Linked DNA regions of Xenopus tropicalis. The protein of the gene in region 2 interacts with the protein of the main gene of each other region in a pairwise test. Links are inferred from orthologs where the notes say so. Each region holds a gene or a part of one and is shown on either strand. Other genes may lie near its edges.

Region 1 (8,476 bases), about 84 Mb from region 2:
TTAAAGGTTATTTGTAAATGTAATTGCTATTAAAGCAGCTTTTGCTGAACTGGTTGTTTCCTTTTAAACAATGTTGCAAAAGCCAGCCTTCTCCCGCAAGACAGGTCATTCAATCTGCTGGCTTGGGTTACATTGTTTCCAGTGCCAGAGCCACCAGGGCAGAGAATAGAAAGGACAGGCAGACACTGCTTTTAATTGCAGTTATTTATACAAATAATTCAAAAACCATTACAAATATGTAATGAATATATATTGCAAAGTTGGTTAGAATGTTTTCTTTTATTAGGCAAAAATTATTTTTGAGGGTTGACCTCAAATGTCCTTTAATGTAAACATACAATGATTTTTTTTAAATGGTTATGTATTACAGTAAAATAAAACAAGGTGAATATATAATACATATTCTGTTATGTATTCTGTTACATATTCTTGTCTCTTAAACATTCCTAGAAAATAGTTACCTTATTTCAGAGAACAAAATTGTACTTTAGACAGAGAGCAAACAGGGAATTCTTACAAGTATAAGTTTGTGTGATGTAGGTGGAAAATAGCTGATGAATGTCAAGTACATATGCCGTCAAGCAAAAATGTTTTTTTAGATCCTAGTTTTAAGAAGCAGCCCAAAAGAGTTATCTTTCATTTAATTTTTATATATGCAGAATGTCCTTTCTCTTTATATTGCTTCCCCAGTGAATATAAAGTGTTTATGATTTGGAACTTTGTCTTGCAGGTTAAAAGTGTAAAACCATGCCTTAAACAGTTGCAACAATGCATTCAAACTATTTCAACTCTGCACGATGATGAGATTTTACCCAGTAATCCAGCTGACTTGTTCCACTGGCTTCCCAAAGAGCACATGTGTGTTCTGGTTTATTTGGTAAGAATGGTCTAATTTTGTACCACCTGAAATGGAGCATCTCTTATTCAGGTATAATGTAATATTTACAGATTGTTTTGTTCATGGGTTTTTATGATTGAGGAAAACCTGGTAGCGGGTAACTAATAATTATTTCTGTTTAACTAAAATGATACAACTGCCTCCTAATGTAATATCTGTAAGCAGATGACTGTATAAATGCAGGAACCGGTATAATTCAACCATTGTTGTAAAATCTACCCTGCTGTATGCTCCCTATGAAAACTGTTCTTATTGTGGTTTTATTTTTCCCTTCTTGCATTTTTGTGCTTTATTATGTTTTGGATTTTTTTGGGGTTAATGAAACCTGTTAATACACATTTTAAATGCAACTTTATTGGTTCTTAATCATAGTGGTGGTGTTTTAGCAAATATTAATCATATAACTGTTGATGTATAAACTTGTATCTCTCTTGTATTCCCACCTACAGGTAACAGTCATGCATTCTATGCAGGCTGGATATTTAGAAAAGGCTCAGAAATATACAGACAAGGCTCTTATGCAGCTGGAGAAACTCAAAAGTAAGTTTTTTTACTTAACCTTTACCTTTCTGTGTTCTGTTAATGCATTCTGTCTTTAAAGGGAAAATATACCTCCTATTTTGGCATGAGCTTTTTCTGGTGGCTTTATGTAGAACCGGTACATATATGAACTTCCAGATACAAATATTAATGTGTATTATTTTTACATAGACCTTATTACACTCTCAGCATAACATATCCTGGGAAACAACTAATTGGAGTTATGGTGGTGTCTTTCAATTTGTGAAATCAAGTATGCTTTTGTAAAACAAGAATGCATTTATGTTTATATCTGAAAGTTCAGATGTGTGTTTTTTTTTCTAAATAGGCTCAACTAAATTGGTTTAGTTGGGGGGGTATATTTCCTCTTTTAAAGAATAAGTACCGGTAATCCTTTTTTTTTTTCATATCAGTAAAATTACTCTAAACAGCCTCCAGAATGTCCCAGCATTCTGTCTGACCTGGTTCCTCAGCTCGAAGTTAATCCTTTCCTTTGCTTCCTTGTGCAGAGTGAAGCCCCGTCCCTACTTCCTGTTCAGGTGTCGCATCAAAAAAAACAAAAACAAAAAAAAACCTGCTAATGCACAGACTGGCTCCTGCTGCCTCCAGGCATGCCCAGAAGGCTCTCCAGGTTGACTAGAGTAGTCGAATTGAAGAGAGAACTGAACAGGAAGTGGGGGCAGGCCTTCACTCTGCACAAGGAAGCAAAGGAAAGGATTAACTTCTAACTGAGGAACCAGGTCAGACTTTCATTCTTAAAATTAACAGTATTTAAGATGGACCTATTCTAAGCAGCTTTTTCTGTTGGTTTTAATGTTTAATTAGATGGGGTTTTTTGTTTTTTTTTAACTCCCATGCATTGGGGAATTTTGTAGTGAATTTTCAGCTATGTTGACACAATGCCCTGTGTACCATTGGAATACTAAATTAACCAATATTTTTTCTTCTCAGTGCTGGATAGCAGTCCTATCCTATCTTCTTTCCAAGTCATCCTTTTGGAACATATAATCATGTGTCGTCTTGTGACAGGACACAAAGCCACAGCTTTACAAGAGGTAGAGATGTTAAACTGGTAATAGAGAATTTTGCAGATGCCTGTGAAATCTTTTTCATTTTACATCTGTCTTTATTTCTCAGATATCCCAGGTATGCCAGCTCTGCCAGCAGTCTCCACGTCTGTTCTCTAACCATGCAGCTCAACTCCACACATTACTGGTAAGTAATAAATAGTTATGGAGCCACATCACTGGTTCTACTTTTTTTTTTCCAATGGAGAGTGCTTATGGTGTTTTAAATATTTAAAGTATGGTGCCTTCCCCATTCGATCTTGCACACCATAAGTGGCAGGCAATTATACTGACTATTTTGAAGAATATCTGGGAGGAAGCCACAGATTTGTGTAAAACTTCCTTATTATAACACAAGATAGATTAATCAACTTTAAAATTCTCTCTACTATTACTCAGCTGATAAATAACACAGGGTTTTTCCAAGTAAATCCTCTGCTTGTCCCCTCTGTTATCACCTCACTGCTGATTTTCTGTGGTTTGTGGGTATGCCCATTAATCGAGAAGTTCTGGTGAACAGTGGTTTAATGTCTTAGTGACAACCTAGCATTACCTCAAGTCATCTCTCCTTAAGTGTGCTAATTAGGGGGCCAATTCATTAAAACACGAGTTCGAAAAATTCGGATTGGATACGATAATTTCTGAAGATCGCAAATATCACGAAAATGCTTACGGAAAAAGCTTATTAGTCATGATAATATCGAATTGGCGATCCGAAAGTCACAAAATTTTCGTACCGAACAATTGTAAACAGTGACAGAACCTTCTAATCCTAATTTTTCATGCAAGCGTACGAAAAAGTTGCGCGGGTGTACGAAAAGTCGAGCAAGCGCGAAAAAAACGCTGAAAATACGCTCGGAGCGTTCGTGTCTTAATAAATCTCCCCCTTGGTGTGTAATAAGCGATCTAGTTTTTTATAAACATACCAGAATACTTTATCAAACTCTTATTTTATGCTAAAAAAGTGATTTGTAGCTCACTGGCTACAACCTAAGGCCCCTGCCTTCTTTACTGGCTAAACTTTAGTCAGTCTTATGCTTCCATTAATTACACTAACATATGAGGCATGTGGAGAGCTGGCTTGAGACTACCTAGCATTAAACCCCATCGAACCTGTGTACTTGAGCTGTATCAATAAGTGGCGATTTATCTACCTTAATATGTGTGCTAAACACTAATATACTGTAACATATGACAATATTTGTTTTGCCAGCTTTTAAATTAAAATGCTCCCACACTTTATTTTTTCTAATTGTATTTATGTCCTAGGGCTTATACTGTATCTCTGTAAATTGCATGGATAATGCAGAAGCACAGTTCACAACAGCACTAAGGGTAAGTATGTTTGCCCTAGGTTTTTACATTGTAATGATCCAAACTGACAGCCTCCTATAAAATCAAGACAAGCCCTTATAAGGATATTCCTGACAACCCTACAAAGCATGCAATGCAGTTCATATATTGCTATCAAACTTGTTTTCTTCTGTATTGCCATTAGCCTTTTCTTATATAGGGAGATATTCATGTGAAAAAATACTTAATTCTGCCTAATCTTAAAACCTTTACTACTGTTGTACTTGTACGCAGAATTTTTGTGCGGTTAACTTTATAAATTATTTTTGACATTGATCTCCCCAGCTCACAACGCACCAGGAGTTGTGGACGTTTATAGTGACAAATTTAGCAAGTGTTTACATCAGAGAGGGAAACAGGCACCAGGAGGTAAGCTGACTGATATATTTTTCTTAATTTTTAACACGCCAAGAAAAATCACTAACCAAAAGACACAATAGAGTCCATTCAAATCTGCCATTCTCTTGCATCCCCAGTTCATTTCCTATGTGCATGTACCAGTATGTATGTTTCAGTCATTACGCGTTGCTTCGGTTTTCCAAAGTCACCTGAAGTTTCCTTGCAAGGCAACTTCGGGCAACCGAAGCAATGCGTATACCATCCCACCGGCGATTTACATTCTTGCGGGTGGGTTGGCATGTCGGGGAGATTAGTTGCCCGCAATAGTGAAGATTTATCACGGGTGAGTAATCTCCCCGTGTGCTACTGCCCTAAGTGCTTTTTATTGGCCACATCAAAACAAACTTCACGTAAATAGAAAAAAAGGACAAAAGCATAATTAAGATAATTAAGTGATAAACATTTTTTTTATTGGGCCAGTAAGCCACATTGGGCCTGATTCACTAAAGTTTATTGCACGCTTTTTTGTGGAAAAAAAGACGCGATTCACTACAGCATTACCGCATGCGATAAGTCGCATTTTCGCATGCGGTATTTCTCGCGCTAGTTTTACCGCATACGTTCATTTCCGTGCTGAAAAGAATACGATCGCATGATTCACTATAACTTTTGCGCGCTAAATATCGCATTCGGCTATGCGAAAATTAACACCTACTACAGGCAGGCGAAAAATTATACAAAAGTACAGTAAATGATTTTTTGCAATAAAATATGGACTTACAGTGTTATTTATTCAAGTATGTGTTTCCCCTAGAGTGCCCGCACAACATTTTTGCTGTTTCGTGGATCTTTCGAAAGATTTGCTAATTTTCACTAAAGATAACCAGAACACATTTGCTCATCACTAGTGGCTACTATTTATAAGCATCTACTATTTATATGATACCATTTATATGCTACCATTTATATGTGGCTAATATTTATATACACCATTTATATGCGGCGACAATTTTTATACACTATTTCTAAGCTACCATTCATATGCGGTGACTATTCGCGGGCGTAATTTAGCACATGTACCAGCAAATACCGCATTGAAATAGTCTTCGCAAGTTAAATAACGCATGCAATATCGCGCGTAAAAAAGCGCGAGTATGCTTATAGTGAATCGTGCGAAAAATCGCCAAAATTAAGATGCGGTAAAAATTTTAACGCACGCTATAAATAGCGCACGTTAAATCGCACTTTAGTAAATCAGGCCCATTGTGCAGTGTTTCTGGGGGTTGATCTAGGTTATTTTCGTTTAGGAGAAAACTGCACCATCCAGAAGGAAAAAGTTGAGCTGCAGCTTCATCTTTCTTACATTTATTGCCACATAAAACCTTATTTTGGTATTAATTTGTGGTATTAATCCATGTACAGTATTTTATCAAATATTTATCAATGTGGGAAATTTTTCTATAAAGAAAACTTAAAATTGATGTAACAAATGGGTGTAGAGAGGGTGTTTTTTGTACTCATTTAGTAAGTTATAAATGCTAAACATAGTCAGTTACATGCCCAATAAAATAACACAATGTTCTCTTTTTTTCCCCCACCCAAGCTTTATAGTTTACTAGAAAGGATAAACCCAGACCATAATTTTCCAGTCAGGTAAGATGTTATTTTTATGGATATATATATATATATTTTATTTATTTATTTATATTAAACAGGCTGTTCACTGAGTGTGTGGGGTTTACATGTCCTTTAAAGGTGGTAAAGGAGAAAAAGCACAGGTTACCTAGCAGATAACAAATATGCTCTGTAGAATACAGAGGGCAGGATTCTACACAGGTTATCTGCTATGTAGCCTGTGCCATTTAGCCCTATTTTTACTTGAATGGCTGCCCTATTGGCTACACAGAAACTTCTTTATATAAACGATAATTGTATTAATTAAGCAAACACACAACTTTACAAGCACAGCACAACAGTACATTATATTTTAATTACTTATTAAACACTTGTTTTTTTGGTGTTGCTATGCCTTTGAAATGTTTTTTTTTTTTCTGGCAGTTCATTTGTTTCCTGATAGATGGAACAATAGTATATATGTTTGTGTACAAAACTAATTTTTTACAAACTATAGATCTCTCTAAATACCTTCTAACAAGGTAGTTTCCATAGACAACCAAGTAACCAGCTAAATTTGTAATAGGCATTTTAAGAATTCATCTTTTCTCCAAATGCATGAAGATGCGATGATATACATTAATGTAAGATATGTGCTACATATATTGATTTTCAGCTTAAATTACTAGATATTTATATAATATAGGTAGAATAATTTTCTCTTTCCATTCTAGTTCTCACTGCCTCCGTGCTGCGGCCTTCTACATCCGTGGGCTCTTTTCTTTTTTCCAAGGCAGATATAATGAAGCAAAGTAAGTGTTTTTTAATAAAAAAACAAAACATATATGTAATATATATATAGGTTTTTTTTTTTTTTTAACCTGTAGAAATAAGTGCTTATTTAAAGTGTCCCTTCTCTTTCTCTTGTAGGCGATTTCTGCGTGAAACCTTAAAAATGTCAAATGCTGAGGACCTAAACCGGCTGACTGCCTGCTCCTTGGTTCTTTTAGGCCACATCTTTTATGTACTCGGGAACCACAGAGTAGGTGTTACCTTTGCTGAATTAATTTTTTTCATTCATCACTAGGAAGACTATGCCTTTCTTTTCTGTGTTGGCTATACAGTAAACAGGGGAAAATAGCAACATCAGATAATTTAAAATGGAAACCATGAGAAGAGTACACTAATTTCTAGAACTAGTTTTTTGATTATTTAAATGGGAGAAGGGCATATTGGCCTTATAAACTAGCAGGCTGTGTGGGAGTATGGGAACACTTCTTTGAGATTTTGTATCAGGAAGAAATTTGCTACCTAAGGGGTATTTTAATTGATGGTTGTACTGTGACTGTATTGGCTTATTTGTAATGCTTTTGCTTGACTTGCAGCTTTTAAAGTTGTCTAATTTCTGATGTTTAGCAGTCAGTTTTTGATGATGAAATTTGAGTATTGGGAATGATGTTTTTTACTTGTTTAGCTTTTTAGTACTCCAGCTAGTAGACTCCCACATATGTATATGTGCCTCCTGCACTTGTGAGCCATAACTGATTCAAAGAAGTTTGTCAGCTGATAATGTAAATGCACATAAATACGAATATATAGATAAAAAGGAATCTGACAGTGCAGAATAATTTATACCAGTGTATTTCAATGAGCTTTTATTTAAAGAAAATATAGTTAATTTAAGACAGGGTTTAAATTTGCCCTTCTTATTTGCATGGTTTCTTGTACCCATGCAGAGAGAGGTTATAGTTTAGCTGAAGTAGAGAACTATTAACAGGGCAGCTTCACAGTTTTGATTAAATCCTAAGGGCCACAAGCTTTATTAATATGATAGTGGCAACTGTTGCATTAACATATCTATATCTTTTACCAGGAAAGTAACAATATGGTAGTCCCAGCCATGCAGTTGGCAAGCAAGATTCCAGACATGTCTGTACAACTCTGGTCTTCTGCTCTCTTGAGAGGTACGTTTTCTTAAGTTGTACTCTTAATTTGTTTGCTATAACCCAGTAATCCCCCAACCAGTGGCTCTTGAGCAACATGTTGCTCACCACACTCTTTGATGTTGCTGCCAGTGGCCTCAACGTAGGTGCCCAGTTATAAATTTCTGGCTTGGAGGCAAGTTTTGGAAGCATAGAGATACAGATTTACTCCAAACAAAGCCTCCTGCAGGCTAGCAGTCCACACTGGGCTATCACAATCCTTGTTTGGCATCCCCAAATAACTTTTTCCATGCAAACACAAGTAAAAAAAAAAAAAAAAAATAACCTTATGCTATACTGAAATATTAGAATGCTTTCAGAAATCAAAGATCTGTAGTCAAGGATGGTGGGAAGCTGTATATTATCTGACTTTATTAAAAAATACTGTACATGTCTGGTGGAGCAGCAACAGACGCATGGATTTTATACCAATTCTATTTACTTGCTGCAGGGACTTTACCGGCTAGGCTGTAAAACACCAGCTGGGTGGCAGGCGTAGGTACACATCAGACTTGTTTTAAAGGACAAGTCAACTCAGAATATACTTTACAACTTTGCTATATACATTCATCACAAATTTGTAATTTTTTTGTATTAATTTGTAATGGTTTTTGAGTTATTTGTATATATTATTGCTATTAAAACTGTTTGTCCTTTCTATTCACTGCCGTGGTGGCTCTGAC
Region 2 (8,476 bases):
ATTTCCCTCCACTTTACTTTTGTTACCATCAATCCTTTTTTCATCTTTACCAGTAGGCGATTTCAAAACAGGTTTATCAGATTTCAATTTTGTAGGATCCGATTTGCTAGGGTCTGATTTACTGTCTTGCTTTATCCTGGGACTACTAGGTCTTTGCTTTTGCTCCCCAGAAGAATGCTTCTCCCTAGACTCATCCGAATCATGCCGATGCTTCTTTTCCACTTTATCGATTTTTGGTGCATCCGATTTATTTCCAGGTCTTGTTTCCTGTTCATTCTTATTAAACGACCTTAAGGACTCTGGCCTCCTAAGCCTTGACATTTCTCCTTTGTGTTTCTCAGACTCCCCCTTGTCATCCGGTTTCTGTTTTGGGTTCTCACGGTCCCGCTTTGACGATTCATGACTAGGTCTCCCATCTACTCTCTGTTTTGCTCCATCTGTACGGCTCTCAGGCTTAACTCTAGGAGAGTCACATTTTGAATCTGTTTTATGTTTGGATAAATCTGGCTTCTTTTCTGTGGAAAGTCTGTTGGGATCTTTTTTCATATCATGTTTATGTTTTGGGGCTTCAGGACGCCCATCACTTTTGTGCTCCTCACTTTTTTGTCGGCTAATTTCTTGCCGACCTTCACATTTCTGCCTTGATGTATCTTGCCGCCCTTCACTCTTTTGTTTAGGGGTGTCCGGCCTGCTATCACTCTTTTGTTTTGGAGTGTCTGGCCTGCTTTCACTCTTTTGCTTTGGCGTTTCTGGTCTGCTATCACTCTTTTGCTTAGGTGTTTCTGGCTTACCCTCATTCTTTTGTTTAGGTGTTTCAGGCTTATTTTCACTCTTTTGCTTGGGTGTTTCCGGATGCCCTTCAGTCTTTTGCTTAGGTGTGTCCGTTTTCCCCTCACTCTTTTGCCTGATTGTCTCTGATTTTCCCTCTGCTTTCTGTTTGGAGGTTTCTGATTTCACCTCCACTTTTTGCTTTACTGTCTCACTCTTCCCTTCAAGTTTTTGTCTAGGTGTCTCTGGCTGGCCATCATTTTGCTTTTGCTTGGGAGTATTAAGTTTTTGTCGCATTTCCAGCTTGTTGTCAACTTTACTAGATTTACTCTGGTTTTCATTTTCTTTAGAATCCTCTTGTAGGTCACCAGATTTTACATCATTTGCAGTCTCATTTAACAGTGCTTCAGTCTTTATATCTTCATTAAAACCTTCGCTGTTTTTGTACTCCATCATATTGTCGTCATAATCTATTTCACAACTTTCAGACTTGGTCTCCATAGGACAGTCACCAGAAAGCTTTGCTTCTTCGCTGCACTCAACAGGTTCAGATTTGATGTCACACAATTTAGTTTCATTGTAAGATTCTTCTAGGCCACTCTCAGTTGACAGCTTAGCAGTTGTGCTCTTGTTAGACTTATCGGGACATTCCACGTCTGACTCACTCTTTCTTAATGGCGTCGGATGATTCTCAGGATTATGCTTGAAAACAGTGTCCTCTTGAGGCCCAGAAATATAGCCATCGTTGCAGTTCTTTGTGTCATCTGCCTTTCTGGCAAAGTCCGAGTCCTGAGTTACAGTTGCCTGAGAGTCCCCTCGGCCGGCCTGCTGAAGATCAATACTAACCATAAGTGCTGGCCGTGACCCATTTCCAGCTGAACCGGTCTCCTGGGAAGCTGGTCTGTTACCTCCAGTAGCACCTCCAGCTTCTAATGGATAAGAATCCTGCTTCCGTTTCTTCAGGGGCTTATCTAGACAGTAAAACACAAATAGCTTAATATTAAAATTCATAGTAACTTTTAACTATACAGTTCTGAATTAAATAGTAACAAACGCTAGCAAAGAGTTTGCCCCACCTATGAACCTTGTGCAAAACTGGCTTAAGAAAATACTGTTTATTCTCCCATACAAATAATTTATTTAAAACAGACATGGGCATTTTTCAGTATATACTAGCATATTTGCAATGTGTATTTTTAAAGCAACAGCAGAAAAAAAAGAAAACATTGTTAAAGAAAGTGACAATTTTAGAGAAAACATTATACAACAGAAACTCAAACATATAAATAAATGTGAAAGTGAAAGCCGCTTGAGGCTGTAAGGATTTAAAAAGGACTAAGGCAAATCAGCCATAAGACACATTACAAGAGCTCTAGTTCTTTTCAGTTTCAGTGTATTAATTACACCAACTGTAGAATCATTCAGGAATCAAAAAATGTACTCCCAAGAGCTAGAATTTAACATGTCCTAATGTGAACTGTTACAAGTGTAGTGGCATGGATGCCACGGATTTACTAGAGAACTACCTGGGCAGCCTTGGTGACTTTTGAATATTTTGAATGTCACCGTTTGGAGTAATTTAACAGAGTTTCTCCATTGACTGAGTGTAAAGAAGCTTGCAAGCAAAATCATCTAAAAAGTAAAAATCATTTGAACAGCAGCAAAACTGAGAATAACATTGTTTTAATACAAATACAAATCCGGAAACCCGTTATCCAGAAAGTTGCGAATTACCGAATGGTTTCCTTTTCTCTAATAATAAAACAGTACCTGTACTTGATCCCAACTAAGATATTATTACCCCTTATTGGGGTCAGAACACTCCTATTGGGTTTATTTAATGGTTAAATGATTCCCTTTTCTCTGTAATAATAAAACAGTACCTGTACTTGATCCCAACTAAGATATAATTAATCCTTATTAAATGTAAATCAAACCTATTGGGTTTATTTAATGTTTTAATTATTTTTCCGTAGACTTTCGGTATGGAGATCCAAATTACGGGAAGGCGCCTTATCCGGTAAACCCCAGGTCCCGAGCATTCTGGATAACATGTACAATGTCAGAACTGGTCAATAGCATGAAAACTTTGCCTACATAATACTAGAAGTTTGAATGTGAGCTACCCATTTAATACAACAAACTATATAAAAAAAATGTAGCACAAAAACACATAATAAGCACCGAAAGGCTAATTAAAACTCTGAGACAGCACGAATTTAGGATTAATCTGAAGAATTAATCCACGCAAGCTCTACTCTCTAGTTCCAACCTAGCACAAAAATCAAAAGTGTATTTTTTTTTTTTAAAGTCAGTGACAACTATAAGGGTGAAGACACACGGAGCTAGGTAGTAGTGGCTACTTTTTTCACGGATACAAAGTTCCAGAAAATCCCCTGCCATAGACAACACTGAGAATTGCCTCTGCTAAAACACCCAGAGGCAATTATCAGTAAACGATCAGCATTGTCAATTTTAGTAGCCACGACAAGTAGCTGCTACTAGTAGCTCTGCGTCTCTAAGGGCTCTGGTACACGGGGAGATTAGTCGCCCGCGGCAAAACTCCCTGCTCGCGGGCGACTAATCTCCCCGAGTTGCCTTCCCCCTGCCATCCCACCGGCGAACATGTAAGTCGCCGGCGGGATGGCAGACGCGGCGGCGCGATTTCGCGCAAATCGCCGAAAAAGACTTGCGAGGCTTTTTCGGCGATTTCCCGAAATCGCCCCGCCGCGTCTGCCATCCCGCCGGCGACTTACATGTTCGCCGGTGGGATGGCAGGGGGAAGGCAACTCGGGGAGATTAGTCGCCCGCGAGCAGGGAGTTTTGCCGCGGGCGACTAATCTCCCCGTGTACCAGAGCCCTTAACCCTTAAAAACTGAACTGCATATACAGAACCCCACCCCCCCAACAAAAACAGTAAATTGTTATGAACCATAACAAAATCTCAGCTGGCAAATTTGGACAAACCAAGCTACATGGCAGTTTAGCCCACAAAATTTGAGACAAGGGAAACAACAACTATTTAAAAGACAAAGCTCTTATCTGCAGGAAACCTAAAGCTAAGGGCTAAACTCCAAAAGCGCTCCAAAAAAAGCCGCTCAGACTAGATGCAACAATATAGCGATTGCCGCGGATGCAGACACAGCATGCCGCATTCGCATCGGACAGTTGAGTTGGATGGAAAAAATAAACATGTAGTTTATGCATCCAATTTTATCAATCTCATTATATTTGAAGAAGGTGGCTATATGCAATTTGTCGCAAATTCTTTGTCAATCCAATACCATCCACGAAAAATGCTTATGAATATTAGCCCTAGTTGAATACCCAAGCACTATCCCCATTGAGCAAATTAAAACCACCTGTCACTGCAGATGCAAGTGGTTTTTGGCTCACAGAATTTGTACAATGAATGTTTTTGGCTTGAAAACAACCTCTACCAGAAGTATTAGTTGGCTTTGACTGTACTTAACAGGTGGAATATTACCTTTGTCCTGAACTTCTTTAGAAAAGCGTTCCCTCTCAATAGCAGATTCCCGCTCTATTCTCTCAATTTCAGCAAGAGCGTCCAGTTCCACTTCGTCATATGGCGTTATGCTTCCTGTTTGTTGGGGCTGTGATTGAGCCACAAGAGGTTGAGGCGGTTTTGCAGCTGCTGACATGTTGGGTTGTAAAACAGGCACTTGCTGCACCTGTAAGAATTCAGTTTGCTCCTGAAAACAAGCAGCAGCATTCAAAGGGCGACTTAAGTCCTGTGGAGTGACCGGTGTTTTTGAAGCATTCCCTGGGAACTGCACATTAAAAGTGCTATCTCCCTCTGACATGTTACTGTTTTCCATAGTGGAGAGCATATCTCCTTGCTGGTCCATTTCAGAAGATCTCACACGTGTTAGTCTTAAAGTGAGCTTGGTAGAGTCTTTAGAAGGAGAACTAATAATATCATACATTGCAGACTTCTCAGTCTGTTCCTTCTCATCTTTGCTTATCTTTAACTTTTTTGGTCGCCTCTGCTTTCGATCTGGGGAGTCCAAGAGAATGTCAGGAGGAGCATCCCTGGGAGAGGAATATGGAGGAGGCTGTGTCTGTAGTATTAATGGCCTTGATCCTGCATGAAAAAAAAGAGGAATAAAATTAAGAATGTTTTTCAAGGTTAATGTGTATAGCTCTAGATGTGTATCAGTCATAACAAACCTAACCTACCTGTCAATGGACCTAACCAGCATCATACCCTTCACATAAAGGCTTCTCTAAAATGCTATCTTTTTATATGTTATACTGTGGTTTCAGCCATTATTCTCTAATACTGCAGAGTGCTCAATATCTGTTCATTCTCTGCAGTTAAGTCAATGATTCTGATGAGTGGATCAACAGCATGGATGCCACGGATTTACTAGAGAACTACCTGGGCAGCCTTGGTGACTTTTGAATATTTTGAATGTCACCGTTTGGAGTAATTTAACAGAGTTTCTCCATTAACTGAGTGTAAAGAAGCTTGCAAGCAAAATCATCTAAAAAGTAAAAATCATTTGAACAGCAGCAAAACTGAGAATAACATTGTTTTAATGCAAATGAGATATGAGCTTTTTAATGTTTCAGAAACTATGACTACTTGATTCCCATAAATACAGATGCTGCTGCTGTTCAGTTGTTTTCAGATAGTACATCAAACACACACTTTTCTTCAGTTGCTTTCCATTTTTAATTAAAAATAACAAAATAAAAAACAAACAATACTTTAGCCCCCCCTCTGTAAACTGTTCTAATCCGACACATTAATTGATACATTTATCATCTGTGGCCCAGCTGAAAAGAATACTAAAGTTTCATAAATTTAAGTTGTTATAAAAGATACAACAGTTGCTAATGCTCTGCAGCTGCTGCTGAGAAATGTATCAACTGATCTAATAGAGTGTGACAGTTCAGTCTGCACCCGGATTATGCAACGGACACAAGAGGGAGAAACAAGTTTTAACTTTGTTTTCTACTGCTTAACTAAAATTAGTTGCAAAAAAAAAAACATTATTTCTGGTGAAAGTGTGTTTGGAAGGTAAGCAACCCCTTTAAAATGTCCAAATATTAGATTGAAATTATTTATTGGATTTATACCTTCAAACAAACGTGCATAACAAGCGAGTTATGCACATCTGTGCCACAGCATGGCTTCCTGTCCCAGGAGCTCACTCTGGGTGTGGGTAGCCTAGCGCTGTAGTGATAGGTGCCTTTTATTGACAGCTAAGACAAATCTCAACTTTACCTTTTGGCGTCCCTTCACTTCCAGCAGGAGAGCACACAGACTGCGGAGAGCGGAGAGAAAAGGAAGCAGCATTTCTTATTGAAGAATCACTGTCCTAAAAAATTTAAAAAGAAACACACTGTAAAATAACTGTTCATTGCAAAATAGCTATTCGGTTCATAAGTAATGGAGGAGTAAGTGATTTTGTTGCTTGTGTTCAAGAATTTTTAAAACTTCCTGAGCGGAACAAGAAAAAACGAACAAAGTGTTTGTGACTGAATTGGGTTTGTGTGTGAAATAGTGTAAAGATTAACAGTTTTAACAGTGTGAATATATTCCCTATTTTTAAAAGTGGGGTATGGCTTAGAGTATTTTTCTAAGCACTTTTCTTGGCAATTTTTACTTTCCTTCAGGATTATCTTAAATAGGTGGCATATATCATTATAATTCTCTTACATTAAGTGCTACCACAGGAGAGAGGACAAAAAAAGTTAAGTGCTAGAAATATGTATCCATTTAATGTTTAAATTCTAAACATTATGAAGCAGAACTCCACAACTTGGGAACATCTTAATTCCAAGAAACAAAACATCCTTGAAAACATTCATGACAGGGTTTTTGACATATACGTAGCCGAACGAAGTCAAATGCCAGGTATACACCATTAGTATACACATACAAACATACCTCACCACCCAGCCTGTGCACCATCTGGAGATAGTCCTCAGTAGCGCCATGCCTGGAATTATCTGCATGATGGTTTGCAGAGCTGCCTGACAGCTGCCCAGAAACTTTATTTTCATGTAGATTCCTAAGCCCCCCAGCAACTATAGGGCTTGAAACAGAAGCTATAAAGGCAGAAAAGAAAAAACAATTAGACTTGCTTTTGTAAAGAAGACAAAATTTGCAAAAATCTTTGGGCACCAACAAAGCAATGCAAGAGGAGGCATATCAGAGCTGCCAACAAGTTTTCATTTACCCCAATAGGGTCTTCGAAATGTAATAAATTCTGAACAAATCTAGTAACTACTCTCCTCTGTCGCAGCATATTGAAAATATAATAAAATTGTATGACTAATGACACTCTTGCATATGAAAGACAGATATGCCATGTCTGTGTACAGTTATAGTAAAAAAAAAAAAAAAAAAGTTTCCCAAAAACAGGCTGAAAGTATTTTGAAGAAGGCCAAGAGCAGCAGCAACATGCTGAGCAAGAAAAAGTTGTGTTACCCACATAAGTCTTTAACCCAAGATGGTCCAACACTTCTTTTACATAAAAATCTTCTTTACCTTGTTGCAATGGTTGATGTTGGTAACTTCCAGGGTGGGAATATGGCATGTATCCTGCTGGACTTTGGGGAGCATATGGACTCGGTACAGGGCTGCTCTGTTGGCCAATAAACCGGCTTGTGGAACTGGACTGGGGTGGCACAAAACGACTATAGGAGACACAAAGGGAAGAGTCAGAATACTATTTTTGACCATTCTTACAAACCAAAAATACCTATTTGAATGGGTCAGCAAACTTATAGTGCCATCTGCACTATACAAATATATAGTATAAAGTTTTTTTTAACTAAAATTATAATACAAGATTTACATACACTTACAAGTGGATGTAGAAGAGGAATCAAAATAATAGAAATAGGTGCCCTATTGAAGTGAGAGTTTTGCATTTCTCAGCAACAGGTTAATGCAAGAAAGGTGCCTTCAGCCACTAAGGATTTTAGTGTTCTTTCACCTGAATAGGACCACAATACATCTCCAACCCATTAAAGGAGAAGGAAAGGTCAAATCATTGGGGGGATGCCAAAATGTCAGGCACCCCCATAAATTGTATTCACTTACCTTATACCCTGGGCTGGTGTCCCCGTTAGCAAAAAAAAACACACCAGCCTGGTGTACATGCCGGTGAGCGATCCACTGCCATCGCTGGCCTGCATGTTCCCAAAGAAGATGTGCCCAGGGTATTAGGTAGGGGATCTTAATTATTGGTGGATGCCCAACATTTGGCATTTGACAGGCACCACTTTTACATTGTTCTAGTCAATAGGAATGAGGTGTGTATACACTGCCCTAACACCACCCTCTAAGCTATTTTTTTTAGCATTGTTTTTAATTCTAAATAAACACTCACACGTAGGGGTATATTTAACATGCTGTGTAAAAAGTGGAGTGAAGCATTAACGGTAATGTAGCCCAGGGCAACCAATCAGAAATTATATTTCAATAGTAGCAAAGCATCTGATTGGCTGCTATGAGCAACATCGCCGTTAATGTGTTACTCCACTTATTTCACAGCATGATAAATATACCCCTGATTGTTTAAAGTACAACAATCTCTGTAACCCATAGGACAGATAGAAAGTAAAAATGACTCAGCAGGACAGCATTTCTGTTTATGGTTATGTAAAAAAATTAGATTAAATTCAAATGAAAAAAAAAATAAATTTATAGAAGATTATAAACTTACCT

Evidence for each region.
Region 1: the proteins of nipbl (region 2) and mau2 interact in binary tests that used the Homo sapiens proteins (3 or more experiments, as listed by UniProt). The link is inferred for Xenopus tropicalis from reciprocal best matches to the Homo sapiens genes NIPBL and MAU2.

The regions. Positions count from the first base shown.
Region 1 is NC_030677.2:113,778,296-113,786,771, reverse strand, and holds part of mau2 (MAU2 chromatid cohesion factor homolog), read left to right. Parts: intron 1-730; coding exon 731-877; intron 878-1,335; coding exon 1,336-1,438; intron 1,439-2,389; coding exon 2,390-2,493; intron 2,494-2,575; coding exon 2,576-2,653; intron 2,654-3,774; coding exon 3,775-3,840; intron 3,841-4,143; coding exon 4,144-4,227; intron 4,228-5,800; coding exon 5,801-5,850; intron 5,851-6,545; coding exon 6,546-6,623; intron 6,624-6,741; coding exon 6,742-6,853; intron 6,854-7,684; coding exon 7,685-7,775; intron 7,776-8,476. UniProt on the Homo sapiens protein: Plays an important role in the loading of the cohesin complex on to DNA. Forms a heterodimeric complex (also known as cohesin loading complex) with NIPBL/SCC2 which mediates the loading of the cohesin complex onto chromatin.
Region 2 is NC_030677.2:197,898,457-197,906,932, forward strand, and holds part of nipbl (nipped-B-like protein), read right to left. Parts: coding exon 8,475-8,476; intron 7,441-8,474; coding exon 7,292-7,440; intron 6,850-7,291; coding exon 6,689-6,849; intron 6,117-6,688; coding exon 6,023-6,116; intron 4,874-6,022; coding exon 4,256-4,873; intron 1,740-4,255; coding exon 1-1,739. UniProt on the Homo sapiens protein: Plays an important role in the loading of the cohesin complex on to DNA. Forms a heterodimeric complex (also known as cohesin loading complex) with MAU2/SCC4 which mediates the loading of the cohesin complex onto chromatin.